Linked DNA regions of Drosophila melanogaster. The protein of the gene in region 2 interacts with the protein of the main gene of each other region in a pairwise test. Each region holds a gene or a part of one and is shown on either strand. Other genes may lie near its edges.

Region 1 (4,957 bases), on a different chromosome or scaffold from region 2:
AGTCGGACTTACTAGGCAACCGACGCAGTGACCCTTCTTCATCTGTATGCCCCTTCTATATGGATGTACTTACTTTGTATATCCTGACAACTGCTTAGCTCATTTGACTGCTGCCAGGACAACGAGGACACTTTGGCAATAATATCGTCCGGTTGTCGGCTTTAAGTCCTCGGATTTGCTTCGTAAATACTTGCAAACGGCTTCAAAATGTCCGGCTTAAATGAGTGGGAGTTTCGAGTTCTGGGTGCTATGATTAAACTGAGGTGACAACATTTTGCCGAGTGCAATTTACAGTAAAATTGTATGCATAATTTCCGTTATGACACTTGCGGTGCGCACACACACAGACACACACGCACACATTTGAACGGAGAAATTTATTTGCAGATAGATGGATAGATAGATGTGGTTACACATTCCCAAAACACTGCAGGAAAATTCCTTTTTGCAATTGCTGGGCGGACTAACCTCATCTAAAAACCACTTGATTTCAAATATTTCGGAATTTAATTAATATGCTGCAAAATGGTTTCAAAGGCGAACCTTATTTACAATCGAAGTTATATATCTTTTTATGTCCTGCTACCTGTTTCCACCGGTGCATGTTTGTATTGGCCTACGAATCTGTAAGTAAGTGGACGACCAGGCACTACGGCTAAATACCAGAACTGCCTGCAGGCAGCATTCTAATTTATGTTATCCTTGCCACTCCACTGAGGCCACACAAAGGGAAATTCTATGCACATATACAGAAATCAGAGTCGCAATACCCTGCTGTAATTACAAAGTGCCAGAGTCGAACTCACAGCCAGACTCCACAATTGAGAATACAGAATCCGGTATCCGGAATACAGAATCCCAAGTCCCGAGTCCCAGACCCGCAGACCAGTTGATATCCTTTAAATCCCTTTAATGCCGGCGCGCAGCCTTTGATTTTTGCAATATCAATTAGCGTAAAACGCGTAGGCCGCCAAAAACTGGTGAAACTGGTCGTGATTGGTGGGTTGGGGGGCATACCAGCCCATGAGGATTTACAGCTGCTGATTATTTCATTAGGCGAAAGTAAATTTAAACGCCAGCCGCACGTTAAATTTATGTTAATTTCCGAAGGGCTGCCAGCCAAAAAGGATGCGGAAATGGCATAGACGAGGAGCAAAAGCTAAGGGAAACTGGAAACTGGCACAGACAGCCTCGGAAAATGAGACGTTCGAGGGGGCGGGTGGGTCTAGTTGAAGGCAAATGGGTGGAATACTATATTACAGCTCGTGCAGGGTCACATTTTAATGCTGCATTCTTGCGCATTACAATGCACTTTAAGTGAATTGTAAATTGCACACCACTGTCTGTATTAAATATGAACGAAATGAGTTGTCAAAAAAAAAAAAAAATGACTAGCTATCAACCTTTTCCAACTGACCATATGCTGCAAATGGACCGTTGCCAAGCCAAATGATTTTCGAACAGAAAAATATTTTCAAACAGATAACTTTCCGTGAATTTAAAACCATATCTGCGGCTCCACTTGACACACATAGGAAACGCACTTGTTTTGCTTGGAACCGAAACACTGATGATCGACCGGGAATATCCATATCCATCCCCCGGGCATATCTAGTTCGCTAGTAATAATCATTAATTAATAACAAATTTGTATTGATTGTCCGGCGAGCAAAACAAAAACAAAAGAGCGAGATGGCGCACTGAAAGCGGGAGATCAGGTGCCGCGCGGCTATACATATATAGCAATATAGCTAGCCGATCTGTGGCCTGACACTGCTTGGCACTCGGCATCCGTCAGCGATTTCGATAGCATTGCGGATTCCCGGACCCGGCCACCAAAAACCCGGGCACATGTGTCGCCGATCAATGCGCGCAACATCTGGTGCGAATGGATATGTACGTACGTATGGATGTATCTTTATCTCAGTCTCGGACTAATGAAGCCGGCAGCGCGTTAGATACGTTGCTCGCCGGCTAATTATTCCCCAAGGGATCCTGGCCACCAATCACTGGAAGCAATCGAGCCACGATCGCAATGAGTGCATCTCTTGATACCCATTGTTCTAGGCAGATCGCAGGGTATGCTATACTATTGTACTTGTAAAAGAAACAATTTAAGTAAACATTCTTTTCATGACATATCAATATGATTTTAAGTACTTAGGGTATATGCCCTGCGATTCCCAACCAGATTCAATGGCTCTCATCAACTTTTCCGACGCCTGTCACTCATCCGGATTGTCCGTGGATATTATAAATATTTGGACACTCGACTGGAGTCCGCTCATTTGCGATCATGGACTTCTTTGCGACGGGTGGATTCCAGCAGCTTTACAGCGACTTGGAAGAGGAGCCACTGGCCGGCGGCGATGCGCTGCTAAATATAGTCAGTGTTGGGGAATTCGATAGCACCTATGTGGATACTAGCTTTTCCGGTGGCAACTATAATCAGCTGGAATTCGAGGAGTCGGATTATTATGGCATCATCACATTGGACAGTAATAATAATACAAATACTAATGGGAATATCCAGGTGGGTCTGCCCCACGTGGAGGATCCTTCATTGTTCATCGACTTCAATGACCTGACCGTATGTCCGCCGGACTTAAGTGATTGGGAGCAGCGACTGCTGGATAACTACGTAGAGATTCCGGACCTGGTGGACTTTCTGCCGGAACGAACTCCCCTGTGCACGGATAACTGTGCGGACTTTCTGGAGGAGAGCAACAGCAATCTGCGGCTGTCGGGGCCACCACATTCAGAGATTTTCGTTCCCGATCGATCGTCTTCCTCGCCCGGCAGCAGTGATTCCGCCAGTCCAGCTGAAGCTGTTGCCCCACCTTCTGCCCTCCAGATGAGTGAAAATGCCGCCGGCGAACGGGGTTACCTGTGCACCTTTGGCAATTGCGAAAAGATCTACGCCAAGCCCGCGCATCTGAAGGCCCATTTGAGGCGGCATCTAGGCGAGAAGCCCTACGTCTGCAGTTGGCCAGATTGCGTCTGGCGGTTCTCCCGATCCGATGAACTGGCCCGCCACAAGCGCTCCCATTCCGGCGTGAAGCCGTACAAATGTGACTACTGTTCCAAGTGCTTCGCCAGGTCGGATCACCTCACCAAGCATCGTAAGGTGCACGAAAGACGTCTTCTGGCCGCCTCCAGAGCTGGCAGATCCCTGATCTCCGACGATCTGTATGCCGTGCGACCAGGTCGAAAGCGAAAGAATCAGTTATGACCACATTCCAAGGACACGATGGATGAGTTAGTTTTAACGTTTTGTACTATTTTTTTTTTTTTTATCACTTAAGATTAGTTCGCATGGGAAACATATCCATAAAATAGAGCTGAAGTATTCCTTCTTTTGTTAGGAAAATTATCAAGAGTTTTATTTCGAATGGGAATATTGATGGTAATAATTACTTGCTGCTCTGTTTTACATAAATGAAATGTGTTTGCTGATTTAAATACGGAAATCATAAACCATTGATAAACTCATTTAGCAGAGTAAAGGAGCATATGATTTAATAAAAAGAAAAAGGGTTACACGCATGAAGTTAATTCATTACAAAAGTTAAATCGAATTTATTAATATAATGAAAAAGGCTAATTTTACGCGGCAGAGCAATTATATCCAACTAAGCAGTGATGTTTCAACAACAGTAGGCCGTTTGCATAGCTTCAAAAAATTTATTAGCGTACATTATATTTATATACTTAAAACATTCAACACAATTCGAGAAATATGGACCGAAATAAGCCACTCAGACTAATTGGCCTCTCCAGTACCGAGCCCGAAAAACAAACGAAACTTACACTGAACCATCTATGTCAGCTGCCAGCACAATGTCCCATAGAAAAATGCATTTCCACCGTTTTCAAGGATGATATGCTCCAACATTTGGCCCAACGCCATTTCCGATCAAATGTGAAAAAGCATTTGCAAGTGGCCTTCAACGGAGAACGCTGTACCCTGGTCTTTGATGTTTCTCAGCTGATTGGAACGCAGACCATATGTCTGGGAGTTCTTCTTTACGGCGGCGTGCGTGGTAAGCATAGCCAATTACCCGGAGAACGAGAATTCTGTTATCACAATCGATTGAAAGAGGATTCGGGGCTGGAATCGCTGAAGGACTATCTGCCCATTATGGTGCTGGTGAAGAGGACAACATTCCTCTGCTGGGCACTTGTGGACAGAAAAATGGAATCGCAAGAAGATCTTAATGGTAAACAGTCAAAAGATCTTAAGCAGGTAAAACATCTAGATTTCTCAAATGATACGCATCCCAAATGCAGTGAAGAATCGATCAAAAGGTGCGATAGTGGCCAAAAGAATAACGATCTAAAGACGACCACTGAAGCCGAGCAGGAAGAGATTATGGACTCCGATATCTTGATAATTTGGACCCAAAGTGCACCCTGCATCCGACCACTCCACGTTGCCATGACCGTATTCAACAGCACCTTGTCGGTTGGCCGGAGCGCCATGCGTTGTGTGGCAAATTCGGGCCAAATGTATACCGAAATCGGTGGCAAGGATCTGCCCAAGGACCGGCATTCCCTTTTGATAACGCAGCAAGAATTGAAGGAGATATGTGGCGCAGAACATCATCTCCATCTCGAACTGATCCTGCATGAGCCTTTGGAATAACCGGCAGCCTGAGATTTTGTTTATTTTTACCTTATAATTGCATTTATTAAAGCGGAGTGTGCAGAAGAATGTGAATTTGTCATGCGGTGGGCAGGAAGGAGGAACGGGACTGTGCCGCCAAGAAGGATCCTCTCCAGCAACTCTTGCATCCTTTATGCACTGTCATATCGCATACTTTACGGCTTTCAGGGCGAGTGCTTTTGTACATTTGAAGTGAATTTACAGCGCAACTTGCTTGTATAATGGCATTTACTTTATGCAAACACTGGCGAGGCACAGGAGTCCTTAAGGAGTCGTCCCGCAGCAGGATTC
Region 2 (5,412 bases):
CTCGTCGTCGTCTTCATCTTCCTGTGCCGGCGGAGGAGCATCTTCGCCCGCTTCTGGACCTAGCGAGGTGGTAGTGCTCTCCTCGTTAAAACTGTTGTCGTGCGCGTTTCCACTGTTATCGCTCTTAAGAGGCATGCTGAACTCGATCCCCTCCTGTCGCAGAGCTTGCCGCATTCCCCGAGTCGACGGCGTGACCAAGGCGTGGCTCTCCGGCCGACCGCCAACTCCGGCAGCTCGGAACAGCACCGTAAAAGTGTTGGCACACAGGTAGAAGTACGGGCACTGGCGGGCACGCAGCAGCTGAAATAGGCCCCGGAAGCTGAAGTCCCACTCCTCGGCCAGGGCCTTGCGCTCCCGCTCACCCACCACCACGCCCACGTTCTCCTTGGCGGTGCGCGGGTAGAGCGTCAGCCAGGGCAGGTGCGGGTGCTGCCAGTAGTAATTGCATTGGTTGAACCGCGTTGCGTCCGAGATATCCAGCGTGCTCTCCGTTCGCTGCGGGTCCATGCAGCGCACGAAGCTGGTGAGTCCGCTGGCCAGCTGCGAGGTCTTCAGTTGGATGGCAGGCAGTTCCGTGGGACAGAAGAAACGGGCTCGCGTCTTCAGGGACCAGTCCACAGGTAGGTGGGCGGTGTGCTTCTGCCGGGCGGCCAACTCCGCATCGTCCTCGTCCTCAGCGTTGATTTGGGGATGCTGGAAGAGCTTGGCAAAGGCCTGCGGGTCGTACTTCTGGAGCACGAATTTGGCGGGCGCCGGGCGCGTGGGCGTTTCCCGCACAAAGCAGGAGGAGGCAGTGACCACTGGTTCGAGGTCCGCCAGTTGCGGATCAACGCGCAGTTTCTTGGCATCAGCTGTGGATCTGAGGCAGGGAGTCAGTAATTGGATTTTGGGGAGAGCGAGAGAGAGGGAAACTCACTTCGCAAACGGATTTTTTCGCTTCTGGGCGAGCTTAGCCTCCAGTAGCTTGCTTTTATCCGTCTCATCCACTTGGTGTCTTGGCCGCCTATTGTTGTTGTTGCTCACGCGGGCTGCCAATTTGTTCTTCTTCTGCTTGAGCCGCTGCAGTTTGATGAACTGGAAAACGAAACAACAACATTAGTGGCGGGCAGGTGCTCCTCCGAGTCCTTACCCACGTCATCTGGGCGCGTCCATTTGGAAGCCACACTCGCTTCGGTGGACATGTTCAATGTCTTGGTTCGCGCACAGGACCTTCACGGATTATTTAAGTACTTTGTGAACTGCAAATATCTTCAAAACGTTTGCAAATATCACAAAAAATTATGGCGCGCAACTAGGGGTGTGAAATCTTTCGATTGATTAGCTCGTTATTCGCTATTTTCGCCCATGTTCAATTCCCAAAAATATCGTTAGTCGGCAAATAAAACGAATCTCACAATTTAACTAATTATTTATTATAATAGATGGAGTAGTTTACAAAACGAAACTAACTTAAATTGTATATCACTGGCTGCAGGGGCTATGTTGGTTAACAATGGCATTGTTGGGCATCGAATTTGATTTTTTAATTTTAATGGTTCTTTTTGGATTTACAAGCTTCTAACCTAAATTAAACAAGCGCATGTTGTATCGTTTTAACTATTAATAAAATCAAATGAATAAAAAATCTTTTTGCGCTATAAAAATGTATCTGACTATCGGATTCACCGATAACAAATCGATTAAGCACTGTCGTTTTTCCAACTGTTTTATGATCTGGTAACACTTTCCGTCGCTGCGTTTTATGCTAAAAGTAAACACATTAACTTGATAAACAATGAACCTCGCCGACGTTTGCCGTATTTGCGCCAACAAAATTATGGGCCACCAGCGAGATCGCAACATATTCATTCACATGCGGGGAAAATATTTGGGTCAACTGAAGCTAATCACGGGAGTGGAGGTAGGTCGTTATGTCAGCTTCCGACCGCGCCAACAATTGTTATTACCTGGAATTTGTTCAGCTGACAAGAAACCAGGGGCTGCCGGAGATTGTTTGCGAGCGCTGCTTCTCCGAGCTGGACCTGGCCACCAAGTTCCGCGAGCGGTGCATCTTCTCGCAAAAGTACCTGCTGGATATCATAAAGAAGACCAGTGATCAAAGCACTGTTCACGTTGAGCTTAGTTCCGAGCCGCTGGACGAGCAACTGATCGATGCGGATCAATTGGAGACGCACTACGATGACGACCAGTACGTTTGTTATCAAGGCACGAAAGAGGAACACCAAGACCTAGAGGAAATCGAGCTGGATGACGACCCCTCTGCCGCTGTGATAGCGGCAGCAGAGGCGGCAGCAGAAGCGGCGCAGCAGGAGGATCTACAGGAGCAGGAAATGGAGCGGGCCGCCAAGAGGCGCAGTAACTTCTTTATCTGCGACGAGTGTGGAACCCTGTTCCACGATGCGTTCCTGTACACCGAGCATTTAAATGGGCACCAGAACCGGCGGGATATGAACCAGTTCTTCCCCTGCCCTGAGTGCCCACAGACTTTTAACAAGAAGGCGCTTCTCAAGCAGCATCGCACCCAGGTTCATTTAATTAACCGCAGGTTCCAGTGCACCATCTGCCACGAGGCTTTCGCGTCTCTGGGCGCTAAGTTGCGGCACGACAAGTAAGGAGGCTGGGAATTGAATGCTAGCGCAGCACTATATGCAACTTCCAATTTCATTTTAGAGCCCATAAGAACGAACGACCTTATCCATGCCTAGAATGCGGAATGATCTTCAGCAGCGTTTCCGAATTGCAGAACCACTTTTCGACACACTCAAAGCAAATCCGAAAGTTCAGGTAAGCTTGTCAGCTTGCGCAGTCATATGTCTTAATATCGTATTTTTTGCGTTTAGGTGTGAGCCTTGCAACATGGATTTTATAACTCGCCGAGGCTTGGTGGCCCATACAAAAACAGCACCGCATAAGCGCCTTGCCAAATATATGCAGGATGAATTCGATTTCATCGAATTGGCAACCTAACCCTCAATTATTACCACCTTCTTTCTAAGTAAATGCTAAGGTCAAAAAAATAAATCATAATTGAGTAGTTCAGTTTACTACTTCGCTACCATAATATTCGACAATGGAGTATCGGTTCAATGTTATTTTTTTATAAGTGTATTTTTAATTTATTGAAAATAAAATTCCTTCAGTTTTACTTTCAAGTCATTTTTTATAGTTCATACTTTTAAATTAAGGAGGGAATGGAAATTTATAGCGTATTACCGTGTAACATAAACCTCTAGTCATACAATTCAAGAAAATAAAGTTTTCTTAGCGACTAAGTTTTCTTATTTTCTTCCAGCATTTTATACTAATAAAGCTTAAAGAGGCCTGAAAACCTCAGCTCCAGCAGTTTGGCGCTAATCTAATTCTCGGCCCCCCACAGGACTGCTTCAACATAAAAGAGCTTTCGAGTACGGCGCATGCGTCCTTTCAGCTGTGGCTGCCATAAGGCAGCTTCGATTGGATCTGCGTATATTTCGCAAATTCAACTGGTAGCCGCCGCACGAAGCACAGAGCCCTACGTCACGTTAGTATATACACGGAATCGGAGCAGCTGCCGCCGAAAAATCAATACCTTACCAAACTTCGACGTGGACGGTTGAAACCGCTTGGAATCGCAATATGTTGTTCCGTTCGCAAAGTAAGTCTGCTGAAGTAATATTTATAGGTGGGTGAGGTAAGAGAATAGCCCATGTTTTTCCAGGTGTGTACATGATGGTGGCGATGCTCGTGGTCGCCTTGAGTGGCTACCAGGTGCAGTCCTATAGCGCCAAGGATATTCTTGCCGATGTCTTGATGACGGATCTGCTGAATCGCATGGACAAAGACATGCAGGTGGGCTATTACGACGTGGGCAACGAGGCAGCCGCTGGCTCCAAGGACAACGTGGACCTGGTCTCCCGGTCGGAGTACGCGAGGCTGTGTGACGGCGGAAGCGACTGCATCCTGCAATCGGGCTCGGCATCGGGAGCTGCCTCCCATCCTTCGCTGCGGGATGACGAGTTTCTGCAGCACAGTTCGCTGTGGGGTCACCAGTTCATCTCCGGCGGAATGGGAGAGGGTCCCAACAGGTATCCCACTATAGTGAAGAACGACGCCGGCCTGCCTGCCTACTGCAACCCTCCTAATCCCTGCCCTGAGGGCTACGACATGGAGACGCAAGGCGGCAGCTGCATTGTCGACTTCGAAAACACGGCCATCTTCAGCCGGGAGTTCCAGGCCGCTCAGGACTGTACCTGCGACAACGAGCATATGTTCGACTGCTCGGAACAGGATAGTGCTGATGTGGGCGGCGACAAGGGTGACCTGAACTCCGCCGTGGAGCAGTACATCATGCAGATGGGCCAGGAGAACAGCCTGAACAACGTTAACAGCCTGGCTAAGAAGGCCGGATATCCTGTGATGCCCGATCCTCGGCTGGACGACGCGGTCATAAACCCGTTCCTCCAGGGCGACCGCTTGCCCATAGCCGCCAAGAAGGGCAACCTTTTATTCCACTAAGGTAACTCGCTGATAACGCGAGCATACACGACGTTTCCATATGGGTGTCTAATACTATTATCTATCATAGCTGGTTATCAATGTTGTCCCGCAAGCGATGTCTAGTAATGTTTCTACCCTTTCCCGAAAATAAAGTTATTCGTATAGTACCAGGGCTCTAAGCCGAAAATATGCGGGTATTGGTCTAAACTTGGGGTAGGGTCTCCACTACCGAAGGTGGGTTCGGATGTAGCTTATCCTTGGGATGACCCAAGTTTGATGAGAGTGAGAAATATCGAATATCTGTTTGATGCTTCTATTTATTGTTTTAAAAAGTTTTACAATCCATCAAATCATCAATGATTATTCATTTAAAAAGAACTATCCTCGATATGTCGTCGAGTGTACAAATAGGCCACTGCGGTTCAGCTCCACGTTGAGTATTTTGTGTCAGCATGCACTGGCCGCGTGTTTCGGATGATCCACGCGGGTATTGACTTAAAGATAACCTAACAAATGATAGTATAGTACATCGCATGAATGTTGCTGCCACAGTGGGCGATCAGCCACCCAATTATTGGCACACATCGACACTGGCAGTGTGATTAGCTAAGCATAATGTTCGTTCTGTTGCCATGAAGCCTTATGAACGACCTGATCCTTCTGAGCCAGAGTGTCCTGGCTCTCACTCGCGTCCCTATACATACTATACAACACAATCCTTCCTTCTGACTACAATTCTAGGTATTGGCTTAGTCTTAAGTTTAGGCAGTTGATGGAAAGAGGCGGAATTCGTTAACAAGTTACCTAGGTCTAACTTAGCTCTACGTCTAGGATGGGCGGGTCCTTCACAGGCGACCTGTGCCATTACCGCCGCCGCCGTTGGTGTTCTGGCCCCAGGAGACCTGGTGGTGCGGGTGGGGATGGGGATTCCTGGTG
Region 3 (6,567 bases), on a different chromosome or scaffold from region 2:
TATGGTAAAAATGTTAAATGTTTTAAAAAATTCCGAAATATATACACAAATTATAAAACTGTCATAGCTCAAGTCGCATTAGTTTGCTAATGGATTTTGACATTAAGATAATTTAATAAAATATATATAGATAGTATTTGGTACATAAAACTAAAATAGTTCTTATTAACCTTAAGAACGAAAACTAGTACGCATACTTGATCATATATATATATAAAGTATTGATATTTATTTCCATTTTAAAACAATTGAAGAGGATTCTTATGTAACAAATGTATCTTAGAAATACCTTAGAATATCTTCAGATTTGACTTACGAGCTTGACAGCTGTCTTCAACTGTTGTAGCAATCACAAATATCAAACGATATCAACGGATTAAGGGAACCTTTTTTAATTATAAGGGCTGGCTCATTACCATAATAACATGTTTTGAACGTCAGAGATCGTCGCCCACTCAATTATGTCCTTCAAGTAATCCCGTCATTAAACACGACCAGGTGTCGTTTGTTCGGACTGCAAAACAATTATTAAACCATTAGGAGGTATGAATGGGGCGCTATATAAGGAAAGGGTTCTGTAAGCGGTTAAAATCATGTATCCGCGATTCCTCAGCCGTAACTATCCGCTGGCCAAGCATTTGTTCTTCGTCACCAGATACTCCTTTGGCCTGCTGGGCCTGAGATTTGGCAAAGAGCAATCGTGGCTTCACCTCTTGTGGCTGGTGTTCAATTTCGTTAACCTGGCGCACTGCTGCCAGGCGGAGTTCGTCTTCGGCTGGAGTCACTTGCGCACCAGTCCCGTGGATGCCATGGACGCCTTTTGTCCTCTGGCCTGCAGTTTCACCACGCTCTTCAAGCTGGGATGGATGTGGTGGCGTCGCCAGGAAGTAGCTGATCTAATGGACCGCATCCGCTTGCTCATCGGGGAGCAGGAGAAGAGGGAGGACTCCCGGAGAAAGGTGGCTCAAAGGAGCTACTATCTCATGGTCACCAGGTGCGGTATGCTGGTCTTCACCCTGGGCAGCATTACCACTGGAGCCTTCGTTCTGCGTTCCCTTTGGGAAATGTGGGTGCGTCGTCATCAGGAGTTCAAATTCGATATGCCCTTTCGCATGCTGTGTGTGATGTTGTAGCATGTCAGTGAGGATTAGATGTTCTGATTAGATGTTCCACAGGTTCCACGACTTTGCGCATCGCATGCCCTGGTTTCCAGTTTTCTATCTCTACTCCACATGGAGTGGCCAGGTCACTGTGTACGCCTTTGCTGGTACAGATGGTTTCTTCTTTGGCTTTACCCTCTACATGGCCTTCTTGCTGCAGGCCTTAAGATACGATATCCAGGATGCCCTCAAGCCAATAAGAGGTGGATGGTCCATTATGCATATGGCTAACATTAAATTCGGGTGTATACTTTCTAAATAGATCCCTCGCTTAGGGAATCCAAAATCTGCTGTCAGCGATTGGCGGACATCGTGGATCGCCACAATGAGATAGAGAAGATAGTCAAGGAATTTTCTGGAATTATGGCTGCTCCAACTTTTGTTCACTTCGTATCAGCCAGCTTAGTGATAGCCACCAGCGTCATTGATATACTATTGGTAATAGCCGTCCTTTTAAGTGATAAGCACACTAACTCAAACCAATAGTTTCTATAGTATTCCGGCTATAACATCATCCGTTACGTGGTGTACACCTTCACGGTTTCCTCGGCCATCTTCCTCTATTGCTACGGAGGCACAGAAATGTCAACTGAGGTGGGACAGGTCGAGTCTCTTGATTAACCTTTGACCTCTTTCATTTCTAGAGCCTTTCCTTGGGAGAAGCAGCCTACAGCAGTGCCTGGTATACTTGGGATCGAGAGACCCGCAGGCGGGTCTTTCTCATTATCCTGCGTGCTCAACGACCCATTACGGTGAGGGTGCCCTTTTTTGCACCATCGTTACCAGTCTTCACATCGGTGGGTTATAATCTGTATGGCACTTAGTGCAATCCACTAATGAAACCCTTTTTTAGGTCATCAAGTTTACAGGTTCGATTGTGGCACTGGCTAAGACGATACTGTGAAAAAGAGTGTTGAATTAAAAAATAACCAAGTACTTAAATTTAATAGCTACTATTTTGTATTAGTTTGTGGTTGCAGCCTAGCCCAAAAGTATGCAATTTACACAATACATATACAATTGTGCAGACTCGAAGTCAATTAATTGCCGGGGTCAAGGGTTCAAATGTGGGATTAAAGGGCTTGCCGTAAAGTTTGAACCATAAAGTTTTCTAGTAGCAGTGAAACCATTTATTCTTCATCGTTTAACAAAGCTACTGGCATGATTCAATAAATTTGAGTGCAATAAGTTAGCAATGTTTAAAAGTTGAGGCAAACAGGATTGCCCCGGCTTCAGATTGATTACGTAGGTCGTAGTATACGCAATCGGTTAATGGACAGAGAATCAAAGCCATAAGAAAGGCACGTGAGTGTGTTTTGGCATCGGTTTCGGTCTGTTCTACGACTTCTGTCAACTTAAACTTGGCCAGCCATAAATGATGATTTGATTGAACCGTCTAGATTAGTTTCCTTTGATTAGATTTACTCTGATACTGAGCGATAGCTCCGAGGCAGCGCCCAGTTCCTTGGTCGGTCAGTCGGTTTAGTCTTTAACCAAGGTCTGACCTCCACACCACGCCTGGGATTAGCTGAAAATGGCCAGGAGATTCATTCTGTTGCTCGTCTTAGCTGTCTGCCTGAGCGGAAGTGCCAGCGGACAAAGAGGTAAGGTGCTCTGAAGCTGGATTTTAGAACTCAGCGATACCTCAAAAGTGTTTTTATTTAGAATAGTTCGAAAATGTTTAGGTATTTGAATTTATTTTGTTTTGTACGCCAGTTCAGGGAATTTATTTTACAAGCAGCTTAACTATTTAGATAACTACGAGTATAAAAACATGTCAGATTTTATGTTTGTCCTCCCAAAGGATGTGTTATTTTGACTGGCGCTGACTTGAGATTCAGCGTGCAGGACGAGGTACTTTGAGATTAAGTTCTTTAAAATAACTTCTTATCTTCCAAGTTTACTTGAAAAAAATGTGTAGAGGAGATAAGACTCAAATAATCCCATTGATATATAACAGAAAATCCAAACCCAAAATTATTTATGATCCTTCTATTTTTTGACCAATGCTAATAGTTATATTGGCTTATCGGAAACCTCTTATTGTTATAGTAATTATTGAACTATTTTGCCATTCTTTTCAGACCACCCTCGTGGGCGTTCCTTTGATGCCGAATCGCATCCGATCAAGTATGCAGAGGAGCAGCAGACCCAGTACTGGGTGGATAAGGCCCAGGCGAAGCTGTTATCGAAGCTGGCCGAGCAGGAGTCCGCGACCACAAACAAGGCGAAGAACGTGATTCTGTTCCTGGGCGATGGAATGTCCGTTCACACGGTCACGGCCACCAGGAATCTGCTAGGCGACAGTGCGGAGCAGGTGTACTTTGAGGGATTTCCCTACACTGGCTTGTCCAAGACCTACTGCGTAAACCGCCAGGTGGCCGATTCTGCTTGCACGGCCACCGCCTATTTGGGCGGTGTGAAGGCGAACTATGGAACGATTGGCGTTAACGCCAATGTGTCCAGGTACAGCTGTGATGGCGCCGCCAACGAGGAGGATCGGGTGCTCAGCATCGCGCATTGGGCACAGGCGGCTGGCAAGGATGCAGGTCTGGTGACTACAGCCCGGGTAACTCATGCATCCCCAGCTGGTGTTTATGCCCACATCGCGGATCGCAATTGGGAGAACGACTGGGAGGTGGCCAACAGGGAGTGCGATCCCGAGCAGACCATCGATATTGCCCGTCAGCTCGTGGAGCAGCCTGTGGGTCAGCAGCTGAAGGTAATCCTTGGAGGCGGTCGCAAGAACTTCATCGACGCAACGGTAAATGATGAGGAGGGTTATCCCGGCAAGCGTACCGACGGTCGTCACTTAATCCGCAGTTGGTTGGATCAGAAGAAGGAGGCCAATGTCTCAGCCAAATACGTGTGGAGTCGCAAGGGACTCAGTCTGGTGGATCTCGAGAATACGGACTACCTATTGGGTCTCTTTGCCAATGATCATCTGCCGTACAACGGTGATCGGGACAGGAAACGTAGTCAGTTGGCGGATCCTTCGCTGAGTGAGCTCACGGAGGCTGCCATCACGGTGTTGAGCCGCAATGACAAGGGATTCTTTCTCTTCGTCGAGGGTGCTCGTATCGACATGGCCCACCACGATACCTTCGCCAAGAGATCCCTCGAGGATACCGCCGAGTTTGCGAGGGCTGTCCAGAAGGCTCGCGAACTTACCTCCGAGGATGACACACTGATCGTGGTGACCGCTGATCATGCTCATGTTATGTCCATCAATGGTTATCCTGTGAGTACTTGAAAGTTTCCTTTCTAACAGCGATAGGTATTTGACTTATGATTTCTGAATTCCGGCAGTATCGTGACCAGGAGATCACCGGATTGGCTCAACTGGCGGATGATAATCTGCCCTATACGATTTTGTCCTATGCCAATGGACCTGGCTACTACTCCGGCTACAATCGCGCTGAGGGACGTGCCCTTCTAAAGGAGAAGTTGGTTGCGGACTCAGACTATCAGTATCCCACGCTGGCGCCCTTGGACGCAGAAACCCACGGAGGAGATGATGTGGCGGTGTATGCCTCGGGACCCTATGCCCAGTACTTCAGTGGCAACTACGAGCAAAGCAATATTCCGGCGCTGATGGCCAGAGCAGCGGGTATCGGGCCCTATGCCTAGGATTTGGCTGATTTTCTTGGCGCATGTAAAACTCCTCTCGCTGAGATGGAATAATTAAAATGCATCATTGCTAAACGAATCTTGCATGGGAAACTGTACCGGGAATGGGGCAAATCGAATTCCGTCTAATTGAACTGACAAGCTGTGCAATTTCCTGTGGAGCAGGGGAGCTGCCCCCCCAATAAATGCCACCTGACGGCAAATTCAATTAACTAGCAATGGCAACTGGCATCTGACAACCTGCAGGCAGCCTCAATCAGTCAGCTGCAATCACTTTGGGGCTGAGCCAATTGACCAGGTGGTTTCTGGCCAAATGAAGAGAGAAACGCGGCCAGAAAGAATGGCCAGCCATCAGCCATTATATGTTTCATCATAAATCCCAGAAAATATGACATTCAAATGGAATCCATCGACAATCCGTGCATTTCCTGCTTTAAAGATGGCTATGAATATCTAAGTGGATTTATTTAAAATGGGCTTTGACTGTCAAAGAAATACATTCAATGGATTCAGGTTGGAATCGTCAGCAAGGTAACAAAAATCAGCGCTGAAAATCCTCCTGGAAAAAATTTATCATATCTTTCCGAAGGATAAGGCTTTAAAATTAACATTTTTCCCATATTTTCAATCGCACCTCTATAAGAATGTTTCATTTTGGATTCAGTTAATGCATAGTGTTCCAGTTTTATATGGATATTTCGGGACCCTGGAGTCTCAAACTCCATTTTGCATCATTTTGATCTTTTGAACCTATTATCAAATAATTTCCCATTGAAACTCCCGTTCGAATGATTGAATTAGGATTCCCATTTGGTGTCAACATGCGATGATTGACGATTCCGAAAGGCGAACAGAAATATTTGGTAATGGGTTGTGTTCCATTTCCGATTTCACTTGGCCTGCGACAGAATTTTATTTTCGGCCAATTTCCGCTACAATTTCTGTTTAAGAGGAGCCTCAGTTTACCGAGTCTCGATTTGTGTGGTCAAGAGAAGGCCCAGTTTCGACTGGACTGCACCTAATCATAGGGTTTTTGGCCAAAGCGGCAGTGCAACGGGCCTAGAGAAACTGAAACTGGGTCATCATGACCCAAGTGCTGGCTAATGGGGAGGGGGCGGGTGCGCTGGCGGGTACCAAATAGCTCCAAAGAAATGCAGCTGCGGTCTGGTTCTTGGATATTCCAACGCAAGGCGGGGGGGTTCTACCAATTATGTATATCTGTATCTGCAGGGACAGAAGAAGAGAAAAAACTAATGGCAGCATACACAAAATGTGCTCACAACTAATGGTTGCTGCTTTAGCTGACTCAGCCAAGAAGCTTGCCGCAAAGATACAAAGATACGCCGTCACAGATACAAAAAACACGTGACTGTGTTGGAGCAAACTGGACTGAACTGGCGAGCTTTTTAACGAAACTCCATATCCGTCTCTCTCGCACGGCGCGCGCGCACTTCTAAGCCGATTCAAATGGCCATGTAGAGCCACAAAGCTGCAGCGCCGCTCTTTCGCTTTTTGTATCTTTCGGATACATGCGACGCGGATTGGGGGCCACATAATGTACGGCCAGGGCAGTAGGGGAATTTTTTGCTTTTGCGCAGCGACGTCGGCAGAGCGCTAAGTGTGCCACATTCTGTTTCCAAGCGCTCTCACAGATACGCCACACACACTCGTGCAGCTCGGTGGGCATTTTTTACTCTACACTATACACTCGACAAAAATAAGCTTAGTCAACCGAAAGAATTGCCAATGAAAAGTGTTAGTAACTTTAAGCTTAAAT

The links. Proteins that work in one complex are often made in the same cells at the same time.
Region 1: the proteins of CG14667 (region 2) and Klf15 interact in a two-hybrid assay, tested with the Drosophila melanogaster proteins (one large-scale study listed by BioGRID).
Region 3: the proteins of CG14667 (region 2) and Alp6 interact in a two-hybrid assay, tested with the Drosophila melanogaster proteins (one large-scale study listed by BioGRID).

Annotation. Positions count from the first base shown.
Region 1 is NC_004354.4:4,768,857-4,773,813, reverse strand, and holds Klf15 (Kruppel-like factor 15), read left to right. Parts: upstream 1-2,225; 5' UTR 2,226-2,296; coding exon 2,297-3,232; 3' UTR 3,233-3,257; downstream 3,258-4,957. Other genes in the region: CG15472 (uncharacterized protein), read left to right, coding at 3,740-4,645.
Region 2 is NT_033777.3:5,373,317-5,378,728, forward strand, and holds CG14667 (uncharacterized protein), read left to right. Parts: upstream 1-1,705; 5' UTR 1,706-1,774; coding exon 1,775-1,900; intron 1,901-1,961; coding exon 1,962-2,608; intron 2,609-2,670; coding exon 2,671-2,784; intron 2,785-2,840; coding exon 2,841-2,967; 3' UTR 2,968-3,144; downstream 3,145-5,412. Other genes in the region: hd (humpty dumpty), read right to left, coding at 1-859, 917-1,074, 1,134-1,181; 7B2, read left to right, coding at 3,616-3,634, 3,683-4,494; kkv (krotzkopf verkehrt), read right to left, coding at 5,322-5,412.
Region 3 is NT_033778.4:9,559,005-9,565,571, forward strand, and holds Alp6 (alkaline phosphatase 6), read left to right. Parts: upstream 1-2,633; 5' UTR 2,634-2,694; coding exon 2,695-2,764; exon of another isoform or gene 2,765-3,244; coding exon 3,245-4,401; exon of another isoform or gene 4,402-4,469; coding exon 4,470-4,790; 3' UTR 4,791-4,867; downstream 4,868-6,567. Other genes in the region: Or45b (odorant receptor 45b), read left to right, coding at 594-1,117, 1,176-1,363, 1,423-1,598, 1,656-1,754, 1,805-1,957, 2,014-2,064.